2 linked regions of the Notamacropus eugenii genome follow. The protein of the gene in region 2 interacts with the protein of the main gene of each other region in a pairwise test. Links are inferred from orthologs where the notes say so. Each region holds a gene or a part of one and is shown on either strand. Other genes may lie near its edges.

Region 1 (7,823 bases), on a different chromosome or scaffold from region 2:
CAGTCTTAGCTCCTTACAACACCAAAAGTTTAAGTGAGTTGTCCAGGCTCAAATAAACCAATATGTGTTGGAATTTGCGCTCAAACCCAAGTTTTTTGGCTTTGAGGCCACTATCCACTATGTTTTGGTGTCGTCATTGGTTCTAGGATAAAATGCAAACTTCTATTTGATGTGTAAAGTCCTAATCTGGCTTCATTCTACTTTTATAGGCTCAGTGTACATTAATCCCTTGGGTTTGAGTCCTGCCTCTGACATATATTGGTTGCGTTATCCTGTATGAACCTCATTTATAAATTGAAGGGGTTGGAGGAGATAGCTTCTATAGTCACATCCAGCTCTGTGATCCTTTGGCCTTTGGCCTCTGATTTTGCTCAAGCTGTTCTCCAAGCTCACCTCTACCTCTTAAAATCCCTAGCTTCCCTTAAAGGTCACTTCAAATGCCATTCCTCTGAGGCTTTTGCTAATTCCTCCAGCTGCCAGAGCCTCTCCCATCAAAATTGTCCATATTGGGATAGAATGGCAATAGTAGCTACTTAAATTTATTCAGTTAATCAATGATATAGCATAAGAACCAGAGAAGGTGCTGTTAGAACCAGAAGAAAGCAATGTCAAGCAAACTAAAAGACTATCTTGGAGCAAGTGATAGTGTTGAAAGTTCCAGAAAGGTCAAGAATATGATTGTAGAAAAGGGTATCAGATTTAGTAGCTAAGGATTGTGTGTCATCTGCGAGGAAACAGTTTTAGACCAATAGTGGAGTTTCAGGGCAAGTGCTGGTGTAGGAAGTAGAGGCAACAAGTATAGCATAGCTCTGAAAGAGAAATCCCTCTTTGTCTAGCTTTATGTAATATATTTGCGTGAAGGGGTGAGGGACGGTGGGTTATTGTATGGGGTGTTCAGGAGGACTAGCACCTCTGGTGTGAAGGCTTCTTGAGCCACTTTTCAGGGGCTGCTCATCCATCTTTGATATCCACTTGATTCATCCAGTTTTCACCTGTGGCTCCTGGAAGCTGCAGCATGTGCAGTAACCACACCCCAGTAAAACCAATCAGCAGAGAGACTAAAACAAGCTGAGGGTAACTGACAGATCTTCAACCTGTTGGTGGCTAGGGGAATGTCTACCCCAAGCACGTGAAGACTTTCCCTAGCAGAATGGGCAGATGAGAACAGTTCATTCCAATGGCCAGGATGGTAGCTAAAGCAGGTGCTGTGAAGCAAAAGTCACATGCTGCATTCTGTGCCATGGCCAGTCACCTTGACTTTTGTCCTGCCACTGGACTTTGTGACTCAGGAAGGGAGTGTGAGGCTGATGACTGTGCAACTCTACCTCACTTAAATTGAATTTCATACACAAGTCGAGACACAACCCGTGACTTCACTGGTCCTCTTCAAAAATGGAAGGACAAACAACAATATATGGGGCAGGTGAAAGATTTTTAAGGATGGGGGAGGCTTGGTGACATTTGTTGCTGTTTGTCCTTTGTATTTGAAGATGACCAATGACATAATGGGTGATGCAGGCAGCAGTGAAAGAGCCAGAGAATGATGGAAGAGAAGATGAGCGGATGGGATCAAGAGCACAAATGGAGAAGTTAGCCTTGGGAAGAAACACCACCTTTTTATCAGAGACTGGGGCACTGGGGACACAAATTTTTAAATAGGCAGTGCTTACTGTCAGAGACCTTAAAGTCTAATAAAATTGGGAAGGCTCAGGTATGTACACAAATAAGAACAAAAATGGGATAAGGGCAAATACAAGATGGAGTGCTGTAGGAAAATCTGAAATTGGCAAGAGTGTTCGTTTCAAAGAAATGGCACTGACCTTTTCCTTAAAGGAGAAAGAATATGGTAATATTCTAATATAGTAATAATAAAATATTCTAATAAGAATAGGTGGGCCTCCAAATTCAATACTCAACTAAAACTGATTTCTCCAAGGAAGTGTATTCCAGATAGGGGAGTAAAAGGAAAGAATGGAGAATGATATGGAGGAATTTTAAGGTATATCATAGGACAGGAGAACTTACTATAGATGGATAACTTTGCTTTTTTTCTCACTAAGGTAGGAATTGAAGTCTTCTGAGAGGGGAGGAAAGGGTGTAGTACATAGGAATTTGAACAAAGATGAATCACTTCAAATAATCTTGAGAATCAGAATAAAAAGACTGCAGCTTTGAGGGCCCAGCTGAGATCAGATAACAATGGGGTTGAATCAGCAGTCATTTTGAGTGCCTTCCTCTTTGGGCTGTTGGAAGAGAATTAGAAGATAAGGAGGGTGAGGGTAACACAGGCCTCTGGCACGATCATGAAGGGTAAAAAGAGTCAAGGGTACATACACATTAGTATGCCATTGAAGCGGTCAACTCTAGTACCAGAACAACAAAGGATGGAGGGACTGAAGGGTATGCTGAGGATGAAGGACAGTTTTAGGAATGATGCAAGAGTACCAAGGGTTATGATCAAAGATTCAGTATCCCTATGGATAGCTTTGGCATAAGGATGACCTAGGTCATGTGACTTAAGGTTGATAGGTTGGGAGACCAGGGTGTTTGAGGGGACCTCAATGTAGAAATTGAAATCCCCAAGTATTCAGGGAGGGTTTGGGATGGAGGAGGGAAAGACTGAGCCAAGTACTGAATGTGAGAGGGTGACTATCATACCAAAAGATGAACACCACAGATATAAAATAGGTCTTAAGCCCACTTTACAGATGAAACAAATGCTGAACGATGTTACATGACTTACTTAGCACCACAAAGGTACTCTGTTTGAGACAGGATTTAAGTTCAAGTTTTCCTAACTCCAAGCCTAGCATTCTATTCACTATGCCAGTTAACTACCATTCAGAAGAATGCAATGGGCCTAAAAAGAGGGAGTATTTGCTGAGTAATAACTGCAGATGGAGGGTTTAGAAGTGTCACTGGGGAACCAGGAATATATTTTTTCTTCTGTCCAAGCCTATTAGGAGAAATGAGAGGAGCAAACAGCACCCAAGAAGTAGTGATTCTGTGTCTTCTGGAGACATCTATGTTTCCATGGGCACATGAAGATAGAGTATTAAAGGAAACAGGATAAAGGGAATACCATTAATGATTTAATTGGGCTTTCATAGAGTAAATGAAAGTGGAAAGGGTGTAGGAAGTTGCTTACCCAGTTCCAAAATTTCTAGTTACTTGATATATTAGGTGGCTATTAATGTCTGAGCTGTCTTACCGAAAAGGGGAGAAAATCAAGAAATAGCCTCCATCTGGGCTGGCTGTCTTGCCTCTGTCAGAACCCCCATATTCTCAGATTGAAAGCACCCTTTCCCCCATTTTGGTGGTGGTCTCCTCTTCACCATCCCAATGGTATGGTGCCAAAGTCTGCTTCTAGGAATTTGAAACTCTTAGGCTACAGAAATGGGGAGGGGAGTACCCACCCTCTGTCATGCCTAGCAAGTACCTCAAAAGTCCCTAATTGGTCTCCCTGCCTCCAGTCTCTGGCCTCTCCATTCCATCTTCCACAGAGTTGCCAAACTGATATTCCTAAAGCATAGGTCACTCCTCTGCTCCAGATGCTCCCAAATTGTCACTAAGTTAAAATACAAACTTTTGTTTGATATTTAAAGCCCTTCAAAAACTGGCTCCAGCCTACTTTCCCAGGCTTATTACTTACTCCTTTCAGACACCTTGCCCTCCAGCCAAACTAGCCTTTGTGCCTTTACTCAAGCTGTCCCTGCTCCACCTCACCCCCATGCCTGGTATACATTTTTTTTTTCACCTTTTTAGTCCCTTAGTTCAAGGTTAAAATTCAAATACCTCTTCACTAGGCCAATCTCGATCACTCCCCAATTGACCTTACCGCCCCTGACTTGCCATGCCCCCTCCCCAATTATTTCCCATTTTACTTATCTGTTACTGGAGTTTCTCCGAAAAAGAACGTATTCTCTTTGACTGCTAGAACTTTTTCGTTTTGTCTTTGAACAAAGTGCTTATCCCAGTGCCTGGAATATAGTAGGCACTTCATGTCTGCTGAGTGAATAATAAATGGGGTTCCCAAGCTACCTTCTCCCCGGACTACCTCAGGTTCTTACAGCTTAGCTGTCTCTGCTTTGGGGCCACCTCAGGCCCTTGTAATAGGGCTACCTATGCTTGGCATGACACCTGTATCCGCCTCAGTCCTTGCCCAGTGCGCTCACCAGCTGCTGCCCAAGCTCACCAGCTCCGTTTTCTTCAGCCTTTGCCTTCCCGTAGACAGCGGCACGCTTAGCCCAACTCCATGGTAACCATCATCATCACAGCCTCCCAACCTCTGTACGCCTCGCCCCGGGGCATGCTGGGACCTACAGCCCTCCCCGCCCCTAACCGTGGCCAACGGGAAGAAGGTTTTACTTAGCTGCACAGAATCCTGGGACTTGTAGTTTGCGGTTTTCAAGGTCAGAAACCGAAACTTCAACACAGTCTGGCCTTCTAAAGTTCCTCAGTCCCTACAATCGTCGCTCCTAAATTCTCTGCCCCGACCTCTACCTTTTATCACCCCTTCTCCATTTCCCGCTCTGACCCGGGCCCCTGCCCAATCCCTTAGGGAGCCGCGAGGAATACTGGGATTTGTAGTTCAAGCTTCCCTCCGGCCTGAGGAGATAGAGACTCGATGCTCCCCCCGTCCTGCTCCAGGCTCCCTTCTCCCAAGCAACCTTCCTTCTTTCTCCCGCCCTGCCGGGGCTGTGAGAGTGCGCATGTGTACCATGATGTCTCCTTGGTTTGACCAATGAGGACTCAGCACGAGGGGGCGGCGCTGCAGTTCAAACTGTGGGCTTGGGCGGCGGCGGCGGCGCCGGAGGCTGCCCCAGCAGCTACTAGGAGATGGGGGTGGGGAAGTGGCTGACGGAGTGAGTCCTGAAAGTGGGACCTTCAGCGGGTCCTGGGAGCTGTAGCCCCTAGGAGGGACGCGCGCGTGCGCGGCCAGGTAAGACCAGGAGGGGAGTCGAGGATGCACCCTAGTGTCGGAATGAGGAAATGGAGAGGAGGTGTCGCGGAAGCGGAGGGAGGACGGTGTGAGGGAGCTGCCGAAGGGCGGCGAATGCGGGGTGGGGCGAGCGGAGAGAAAAGAACCTGAGAGGGGAGGGGGCGGCGAGGGAGAGCGGAGCTTTGGGGGCCGCCCCGCGTTGTGGGGGACAGGAGGCGCCTCTCGATGGGGGAGGGGCCCTGAGGGGGGAAGGGTCGGAGAAGTGGTGGGGCCTGCTGAGTGCCCTGCGCTGGCGTGGGCGACCGGGACGGGGAGAGGAGGCGCACCCTGCCCTTAAGAAGCTGGCATGCTGCAGGAGCCGCTGCCAGTGCCGCTCAGAGGACGCGCGGAGCTTCTTTTTCAAAATAAACATGGGCTTGTTTTCTGGGGAAGGAGATCTGGACTTTAAAGGCTATAATAATGCGAGGTGCAAGGAAGGAAGGGGAGCATTCCAGGCTTGGAGGATCTAGACCAAGTCTACACGCTGTTATTAAGCACCTCCTATGTGCCAGGCGCTCGCGGCTGGGTGGCGAAGTGGGTAGATAGAGCCCCAGGCCTGGAGCCCGCGGCGCTCGCCTTCGTGAGTCCAAAGCAGTCCTCAGACATTCCTGGCCGGGTCAGCCTGGGCAGGTCCCTTAACCGGTGTCTCCGTGTTCTCATCCGTAAAACGAGCTGGAGGAGGAAATGGCCCCCGCGCCAGGATCTCTGCCCGGAGAACCCCGAGATGGGGCGACGGAATCGGACACTGCTGAAAGCTGTACCAGCGCAGTGCCCGGGCGAGGACAGTTCTGTGTAGTAAGACAGTACGCCTTTATTACGGGCCTGCGCTGTGCCAGCCCTTGTGCCAAGCCCTGGGAAGGCAGGAAGATCCGTCAGTGATAAACATGAGAGTTTGTATTTGGTTCTAGAGGCAATAAGGAGCCATTGGGAAAAGGAGGCAGAGAGAAGAACTGAGACTTGGAGACACTCCATTTTCTCCGGCTGCCCCCCGTGCCTGGAACGCTTTCCCTCTACTCTGTCTACAGACTTCCCTGGCTTCCTTTCAATCCCCACTCAAATTCCATCTTTTTTGGGGGGGCGGTATTTAGTATTTACTTTTTCCCCAGTTACACGTAAAAAACAAGTATTTTAACATTTGTTTTCAAAATCTTGAGTTCCAAACTCTCCCCTTCTCCGTCTTCCCCCACTCCCAAGGCAAGCAATTCCATAGTAGGTTATACATAAAATCCCATCTTTTATAGGAAGGCTGTCCTAACTCCTCTTAATTCTGGTGCCTTTCCTCTGTTAATTATTTCCTATTTATCCTGTATATAGCTTGCTTTGTTCGTTATTTGTTTGGGTGTGGTCTCCCCCATAAGATTGTAAGATCATTGAAGGCAGACTGTCATTTGCCTCTTTTGGTATTCCCAAGGCTTAGCACAGGGTCTGCTGGCACTTTATAAATGTTGATTGATTGATTGAATTAAGAAGCTAACAGGTCCCTGAAGAGGTGGTGAAGATTTAACTAGAGTGGTTGTGGTGAGTTAGATTTGAAAGCTTGAGGGCAGGGCCTGACCTTTACTTCTTTTTTGTATCCCAGCCAGTGTCTGCCACATAATAGATGCTTAATGAATGTTTGATTAATTGAGTTGAGAAAAGATGTGAAGATAGAAACAATTTTTGTTGTTGTTGTTCTTCAGGACCCCATTTTGGGTTTTCTTTGGCAAAGATAGTGGTGTGGTTTCTAGTATTTAAAGATAGCTCTTGGGCTTCTCACCCTATTTTTCAGCGTCACTCTTAAATTGTGGTTCCCAGGAATAAGTAAACTATTTCAAATGTGACCCAGTTAGGATTGAGTTGGTTAGATTATCACCTTCCTTGTTTTGAGTACTCATCTAGAATTGTGTATAAATTATTTTTTTTAGCAGCTACTCCATGCTGTTCTTAGTAAATTTGTAGAAAAAACTAACACATGGCCTGGCTCGTACTCATGGACCCCTTAACTCTGCAAAGCAGTTAAAGGGGATGGTATTCTGTGTCTCCCTGCAGAATATTATCGACACTGACTTAGGTACAAATGGCAAAAAAATAAATAATAGAAGATTAGCTGTAAAAGGAGGGCACATAGGGAATAATGAGAACTCAAGTTATGCTAATACCCATGAACTAATAAAATACTCATCAAGGGTTATTCACCTAGGATCTGTGAACTTGATTTATTTTTTAAAAGATGTTTTGATAAATATTTCAATACATTTGCTTCCCTTTTCAATTCTATGTGTTTTATTTTGTGCATTTAAAAAATATTATTCTGAGAAGTTGTTCATAGGCTTCACCATCTTATCAAAGTGGTCCATGACATAAAAAAGGTTAAGAACTCATTTGGGTAGATTCTCTGAAGAGGATTTATGGATAAGAATTGCGCAAGAGGAGAGAAGATATGGACGAAGTTGCAGTTTGTTTCCCTATTAGAAGGAACACTGATGAGAGCTAAGAAAGTAAATTTCATCTTATTAGATTTGATCAGTCATTCTCACCTGTCAAAATGTTTTTGGAATTGTGCAGGTGGGTTCAAGCCCTGCATAGGTTCATAGGGACTGCAGGGGGGGGGGGGGGGGCGGGTTATGTTGAGTATTTCATTAGCTTCTCCATTGTGAAACTTAGCCAAATCCTAATTCAAGATGTGTTGTTAATATGTTCAATAAATGGTTGTAAGCATAAAAAAAATGTTTTTGGATTCTGACTCTGTCATCCAGTGTTTTAGCATTCCATTCCAGTTTCCTGACATCTGCAAATTTGATAAACATACCTTCTCTTCCTTTTCCAGGTCATTGATAAAAAAGATGTTAAGTAATGCAGGGCC
Region 2 (7,304 bases):
AGTCTTAAGGGACTTACTAAAGTTGAACTGTTTACATTCCTACATGGAAAGAAAATATTTGTAACTCTTGAAACTTTTCAGTATCTGGGTAGTGGGTGGGATTACACACACACGCACACACACACACACAGACAGAGAGCACAGAGTGAATTGAATAGGATGGGATCATATCTTTAAAAAATGAAATTAAGGGGTGAAAGAGAAATACATCAGGAGGAGAAAGGGAGCAATGGAATGGGGCAAAGTAACTCTCATAAAAGAGGCAAGCAAAAGACTTTTTAGTGGAGGGAAAAAGAAGGGAGGTAAGAGAAAAACATGTTTACTCTCATCACATTCCACTAAAGGAAGGAATAAAATGCACACTCATTTTGGTATGAAAACCTATCTTACAATACAGGAAAGTGGGGGAGAAGGGGATAAGCAGGCTGGGGGGGGAGGATGGAAGGGAGGGCAATGGGAGGAGGGAGCAATTTGAAGTCAACACTTTTGGGGAGGGACAGGATCAAAAGAGAGAATAGAAGCAACGGGGGGCAGGATAGGATGGAGGGAAATATAGTTAGTCTTACACAACACGACTATTATGGAAGTCATTTGCAAAACTACACAGATATGGCCTATATTGAATTGCTTGCCTTCCAAAGGGAAAGGGTGGGGAGGGAGGGATGAGGAGAAGTTGGAACTCAAAGTTTTAGGAACAACTGTCGAGTACTATTCTTGCTACTAGAAAATAAGAAATACAGGTAAAGGGGTATAGAAAGTTATCTGGCTCTACAGGACAAAAGAGAAGATGGGGACAAGAGAAGGGAGGGATGATGGAAGAGAGGGCAGATTGGTGATAGGGGCAATTAGAATGCTCAGCATTTTGGCATGGGGGGAGGGGACAAATGGGGAGAAAATTTGGAACCCAAAATTTTGTGAAAATGAATGTTAAAAGTTAAATAAATTAATTAAAAAAAACAAAACACTTCCCTAACCAATTCATTATCCCACTCACAATGGCAGCTTTTCATCCCTTCTCCAACTTCCCATGGTTTCCCCTCCTTACTCCCTCTCCATTCAGAACCTTGCCTCTCACTGAAAAAATAGACCATTAGCAAAGAGCTCTCTCTTCTCCCCTACACCCCTAGTCATCTCATGCCCCTCAGACATCTTCCTTCAGTCTTTCTTCCTCTTCTCCTCTTCTGAAATCTCTGCAGAGGCTTCCAATCTCATCATTCAGCCCAATGTCTTACTGACCAAATAGACTGGCTTTGTCTCAATCGTCATACTTCTCGACCTCTCTTCAGTCTTTGACATGACTGTTCCTTCCCTTCTCCTTCTCCAGGTTTTTGGGACATCACTCTCTTCTGGTTTCCCTCCTGTCTATCTGACCACCCCCTTCTCCTTTAATGGTTCTTCATCCAAGTACCCTCCTAGACCATGGATGTCCTAGGAGGGTCTGAACTAGACCCTTTTCTTTTCTCCCTCTAGATTATCTCCCTCAGTGCTCTCATCAACCCATAGATTCACTCATAAGGTCTAATGCAAATTACTTTCACATGTTTATTCAGTCCTAGCTTCTCTCTTAACCTCCAGATTCAATTCTCCAACTGCCCATCAGACATCTTGAACCAAATGTCCTATAGACACCTTAAACTCATTCAAAACTGAACTCATTATCTTTTCTCCAAAATCTTCCCCTCTTCCTGACTTCCCCGTTACTGTCAAGGGTACCATCCTCCTCCCAGTCACCCAGACTGGCAACCTAGGTGCCACCCCCAACAACTCATTCTCCCTCACCCCACCATATCCCCCATGTTGCCAAATTCTGTTCATTCTGACTTTTTTTTCTTTTAGCATCTCTGGCATACTCCTGTCTCCCCTCTGATACTGTCATTACCCTGGTACATGCCCTCATCACCTCCCACATGGACTATTGCAATGGCTATTGAGTGATTTTCCTACCTCAAGTCTTTCCCCACTACTATCTATTTTCCACTCTGCTATCAAGTGTATCTGTTATAAGTAAAGAGCTGATCACATCAGCCTTTTCTGGTGGTTCCATATTGTTATTTTTTTATCCTTCGTTTTTGAAGAGAACCATGACATCAGGGAGGTGATGCTAAGACTTGCAAGTGAATTGGATTTAAGCGAGTAAGGGCTGTGCAAAGGCACCCAGCCTCACTTTCTCCTCCAGCACTACCTAAGTCCAATGGCCAGATATAAATCAGGATGACTGGAGATGGCCCCCAGCTTCCATTTTCTCCAAATCAAAAGAAGGAAAATCCTGTTTTGTTTTCAAAGCTTTTCATAACCTGTCTTCCAGTCTACTTACACCTAGTGACCCCAGTATACTCTGGCATCCAATATGGTGGCTGGGTGAGTGGTGAGAAGAGGACATACACAAGAGAAAAGGACAAGCAATAGCAGGTGTCTGGATACGTGAGGTGAGACTGAGCAATCAAGGATGGCTCTGAGCCTGGGGACTGAAAGGAAGATGGTGGCCTTGGTAGTATGAGCAAAGTCTGGAAGAACAATGGGATGGTGGGGAAAGACAGAGAACCATCTGGGGCACATTGAGCTTGAGATGCCTATGAGACATCTGACTCACAAGGTAGCAATTAATAAAGGTTTGTTGATTCTGTCAAGGTTGGATTCATGAAGGGTCGACTGCACTGGATTGACTTACTTTTATACACAAAGGGTGTTCTCTCCACCTAGCCCAGTCTATGATTCCTCCCCATTTTAGTGGGGGGAGTAAAGAAAAAATTAATCCCATTTATTAGCCCTGTTTGACAGAAAAGGAAACTGAGGCTGGGAGAGAAGTGATGCCCCTAGTGTCACACAAGGATTGATCAGCCTTTCTATATGGCGCTAGGCTAGTCCCAGGTGGCCCATACCTAGCCTTCCAGGTCAGAAGAACCCACCTAACCTTCTAAAACTGAGAATTACCTCTGTGGCCAGATGAGACAACAGAGGAAGCCTCTGCTATCCTGGCTTCTCCTACTAGAGGGACATTTCAACAAGACACTGGTAAAATTCTTCCTGCATAAAACATGCTGCAGCCATCTGATGCTTGATAGGACCGGAAGGCAGGAGAGCCTGAACCTGGCTCTGGCACCAACTGACTGTGGGACCTCGGGCAGGTCCCTTCTCTCTGAGCCAGTTTTACCAGCTGCAAAATGAGATGGTGACTCAATGGCCCCCGAGTCCCTTCCAGCTCAGACATTCTTTGTTTATACCCTAGGCTTGTCAAGGGAGAGAGACAGCAAGAAGATATGGCAGAGTGCCTGGCCCACAGTGGTGCTTCATGTCTACTGAATAACTCATTGACTTTTTGACTGACTTTATAACTCCAGGGCCTCAGTTTTCTCAGCAGTCAAACAGGCACAACGACACCTGTAGTAGATTCCTTCTAGAATCACTGGGAGATCAAAGGAGGTGAAAACGATGTCAAGCACTTTGCAAACACCTCAGTCAGTGCAATGTGCTGGGGACTGTTTCTGTGTCCTTTGTACATGCCAGGGCACAGAGTAGGCACTTAATAAGTGCTTGCTGCCTTGATTCAGGTGCCCCCCCCTCCAGGCAACTAGGCAGAATAATGTTGTCCAAAGGTTGCTAGACTTGAGGATACTGAGGCTTGGAGGGATAGGATTGGAATCCAAATCCAGGCCAGAGGCCCTCAGACACCCTACAATCTCAGGGGCAGGGCTCTAAGGCCCATCTGGTCCAACTCCCCCATTTTGCAGGTGAGGAAACTGAGGCCCAGGAAGGAGCCAGTGTTGCTTAGGATCATAGGAGGAGGAAGGGGCCGAGGTAGGATTTGAACCCAGATCCTAAGACTCAGAAACCAACGCTCTTTGTACTGGGCAGGCCACCTGAAGTCCTGGAAACTGACTAGTTTAGGGACAGGAGGAAAGCCCCCAGCATAAGCCCCGCCCCCAGAGCTCCGGCCCCGCCCCTCTCGTGTTCTAACCCCGCCCTCGCCAGTCGGGTCCCCTAACGCTTCTAACGGCGGCCCGTTGGCGCACGCCCCACGAGCTTCCCCCCACCCCCAAGCCCTCGAGAGGGAGGGAGGGAGGGGAGAGGAGGGGGACTTTTCAGGAGCTGGGGGAGGGGAGAGGGAGTGGAGGACAGAGCAGGGAGTGAGTGCGTGCTCACCTTCTCCGAGCGTTCTGCTCACGTGACCGCCCCTCCCCTCCGCCCCGCCTCCGCTCCAGGCCCCGCCCCCTCACGTCACGTGGCTCTCCTCACGCCAGTGACAAGCGGACGGCGGCCGGGAGGCGGAAGTGGCGGGCGTTCTCGGTCGCTCGTTTCCCGTCGGGCTTCGGAGGTGAAGCGAGCGCCCGAGGGAGCGCGGGGCCGGCCGTGTCAGCCGCGGCATCTGGGGCCCCGGCAGCCCGCCAGGCAGTCCGCCCGCCCGTGCGGCGGTGGCGGCGGCGGCCTTCCCTGACCAGTCCGGCGGCGAGCGCCTCTGCCCTTCCCCAACCGTCCGGGAAGGGGCCCGCATCGTCGCCCCCGACCCGGCCCGTCCCGTCCCCGCCTGGGCCCATCGAGGCCCGCGCCGGGCTGCGCCTGCCCGCCCTATGAGTGTGTCACTGGTTGTGATCCGACTGGAGCTCGCGGACCACTCGCCCCTGCCCGCCGGCTTCGGCTTCAGCGCGGCCGCCGGTGAGTGCCCACTGCCCGGACCGGGAGCGGCGCCGCCGGGGCCCTGCCCTCCAGGGGGAGGGGGGCTGGTGGGGGAGGGGCTGCCCCCTCCCCAGCGTCTCGGGTGGGTCTCCCTGCCCCTCCCCCCCAAGCGCGTTCGCTCTAGGCTCCTCCCACAAACCTCCCCTCCTCCTCTCTCCTCCCCTCCCAAAGAGGACCTGCCCCAAGTGCTAGACCCCCTCCCTCTTCTGAGGCGCAGCGGCCGCTGTGTGACCCCCCCAAGACCTCCACAATGGGGGGTACAACACCCCAGCTGCCCACTGGTCAGTAGTGCTTTCCAAGGGCGAGGAGCGCCCAGCCCCCCGCTGTGGGACGTTCACGTCGGGCTAGGCGTGGGGCCAGGTAGTAAACACTCAGGGCTCCTACGTGCCAGTCGCTGCGCTGGGGATGCCCCTGCCCTCCAGGAGCTCTCAGCTTTAAGGGAGGAGGCAGCGTGCAACAGGTGTATACAAAGCAAGCTCCAAGAGGGGCTGGGTGTGGGAGATCCCACGTAAAGTCCAAGAGAGATTTCCAAGGGGACTTCTGTCGTGAATGATGTAAGCCCTGCTCGCATCAAACTCCATTGTAGAACCTCCTGAATGAGACCCGTAAGCCCAGAAGGTTGGCACAGAAAAACCGAGTGGAGGAAGGGTACTGGCGCTCTAGCCTGACATGCCTCTGAGAGGGCACCTTTAGTGCTTCTTTGTCAGTTCGGGTCCTTTGGACAGACTTGGCAAGTGTACGTTGAGAGGAACCGGGAAAAGAGCAGGATGGAATACATTTGGGAAATGCCAAGGTTCTTCTAAATGACCCCAAGTTGTTCCTTGAAACAAAGGCCACATGTTTGTAATACCAGTATTGTGCTGGTGTTATGGCCAAGAATTGTGAATGGTAGTCTCCGACGGATTAGGGTAGGGGAGAGAGCCTTGGGTGTTTGTGAGCAGGCTGCAGCCTTTGACAAAGAAGGAATTAGGAACAACTGCAGTCATTTTTTAAAAAGATTCTGAAGATGGATAGTGTATGCTCCCCTGATGTTTTTGAAATGTCGAGTAGTCAAGAGGGGCCTCCAGTACTTTGGGAGACCTCTTGCAGCCCACTTAGGGAAGGGTCTGAGTAGGAGTTGCACTCCTAGGCAGGGGCAAATTGTGATCGTCATCCCTTCAGTGTCTTCATTTCTGCAACAAGGTAGCGTAAAATCACAGAAGGAACTTGGGCGAGGAGTCGGGTTCTGGTTCAGAGTTCTTTCCTTTCCCTGCTGAATGCCATGAGGGTAAGATTCTTAATCTCTCTGAGCCTCAGTTGTCTTCATGTGAAATAAAGTTGTGTTACATGATATTGAAGGTCTCTTCCAATTCTTTGATTCTGTAATGGAGAATGGTAACACATATTGTACAGGATTATTTTGAGGATCAAGCGAGCTAATCTATATGATAGTGCTTTGAAAACTGTAACCACATTATTTTAGGACAGAATATTTTTATGGTGCTTAACATCACAAATTCAAACCTTGGCCTTAGTAATTAAAAAAAAAACTTTACAAATCTGTCAGTTGACATGTTAACTTGGGGCTCAATATAACTTCCTTCAGGACTCTCTTTGTGGCTGGTTTCTTCCAGTTCATGTCATTAAAACAGACCTACAGATGTTTATAGGTAATTAAATTCTCATCCCTTCCTCTTCTCCCTCTCCCGCTTTGTCCCAGGCTGGTAAAGAAAATGAAAAGGTAGTTTCCTGACTTCTCTAATAATATAGAAGCTACACAGTGACTGTGCTATTCCTCAGATCTGCTTGTTTTTTTATTGGCGTGAGGAGGAGTTTGTTTTGCCATCTGGACAGTCACTATGAGACACTAATTAGTTATGTTTTACTTAGTTAGGGAGATGTCTGATGAAGAAATCAAAGAAAAGACACTAGCTTCAGCTAAGGTCCATTTAGAAGGAAAGGCGCCAGTGGAGAAGGCAGCAATTATACACCAACATCTTGGCCGGCGAGAAATGACAGATATGATCATTGAAACCATAAAATCTAACCCAAGTAAGTTTTTGAAATGTCTTGAATCACTTATTAGATTGTTTTGTGCTTGTGGATGATTATTTCATGCCTGTTCAGTAAACCTATTATTTCAGTCTCTTAGATCGTAATTTAATGTTAATTCAAGTACTTTTTAAATGAATCCTAACAAATTAGGTTTGCCTTTATTGACAGTAGTAGAGGAACTACCTCATAACTGAATCACAAATCAGTGGTCAGTCCAAATAAATCTGTTGTCCATTTCCATTGTGTTGCTGACATGCTTTGTTCAGAGGAATTGGATCAGTATAGAAACTCAAATGGCCAAAACTGGTAGATCTACTTTTCAAACATGTTAGCTTTGAGCATACGTATAAAATATCTGTTTACAAGCGTACCCTGATAAGTATAAAGTCCTTGGAAGTTATCAAAAGTGTTGATTTCATTTTTTGAGGGGCAAATAGAAATTACATTTTGAAGTTAGGGTTCATTTTTTGCATACATATATTTGATTATTTGGGGAATTTGTTCAAATTGTAGTATGTTTTCTTTGCCAGATATGATCATTGAAACCACAAAATCTAACTAAGGCATGTTTTCTGAAAGGCTGAAAAATCTTTTAGGAA

The links. The genes of interacting proteins can lie anywhere in the genome.
Region 1: the proteins of BRAP (region 2) and NUMA1 interact in a two-hybrid assay, tested with the Homo sapiens proteins (2 studies listed by BioGRID and IntAct). The link is inferred for Notamacropus eugenii from reciprocal best matches to the Homo sapiens genes BRAP and NUMA1.

What each region holds. Positions count from the first base shown.
Region 1 is NC_092876.1:96,760,673-96,768,495, reverse strand, and holds the start of NUMA1 (nuclear mitotic apparatus protein 1), read left to right. Parts: upstream 1-4,808; 5' UTR 4,809-4,942; intron 4,943-7,823. UniProt on the Homo sapiens protein: Microtubule (MT)-binding protein that plays a role in the formation and maintenance of the spindle poles and the alignement and the segregation of chromosomes during mitotic cell division.
Region 2 is NC_092875.1:34,534,867-34,542,170, forward strand, and holds the start of BRAP (BRCA1-associated protein), read left to right. Parts: upstream 1-4,291; 5' UTR 4,292-4,565; coding exon 4,566-4,650; coding exon of another isoform or gene 4,651-4,654; intron 4,655-6,540; coding exon 6,541-6,702; intron 6,703-7,304. UniProt on the Homo sapiens protein: Negatively regulates MAP kinase activation by limiting the formation of Raf/MEK complexes probably by inactivation of the KSR1 scaffold protein.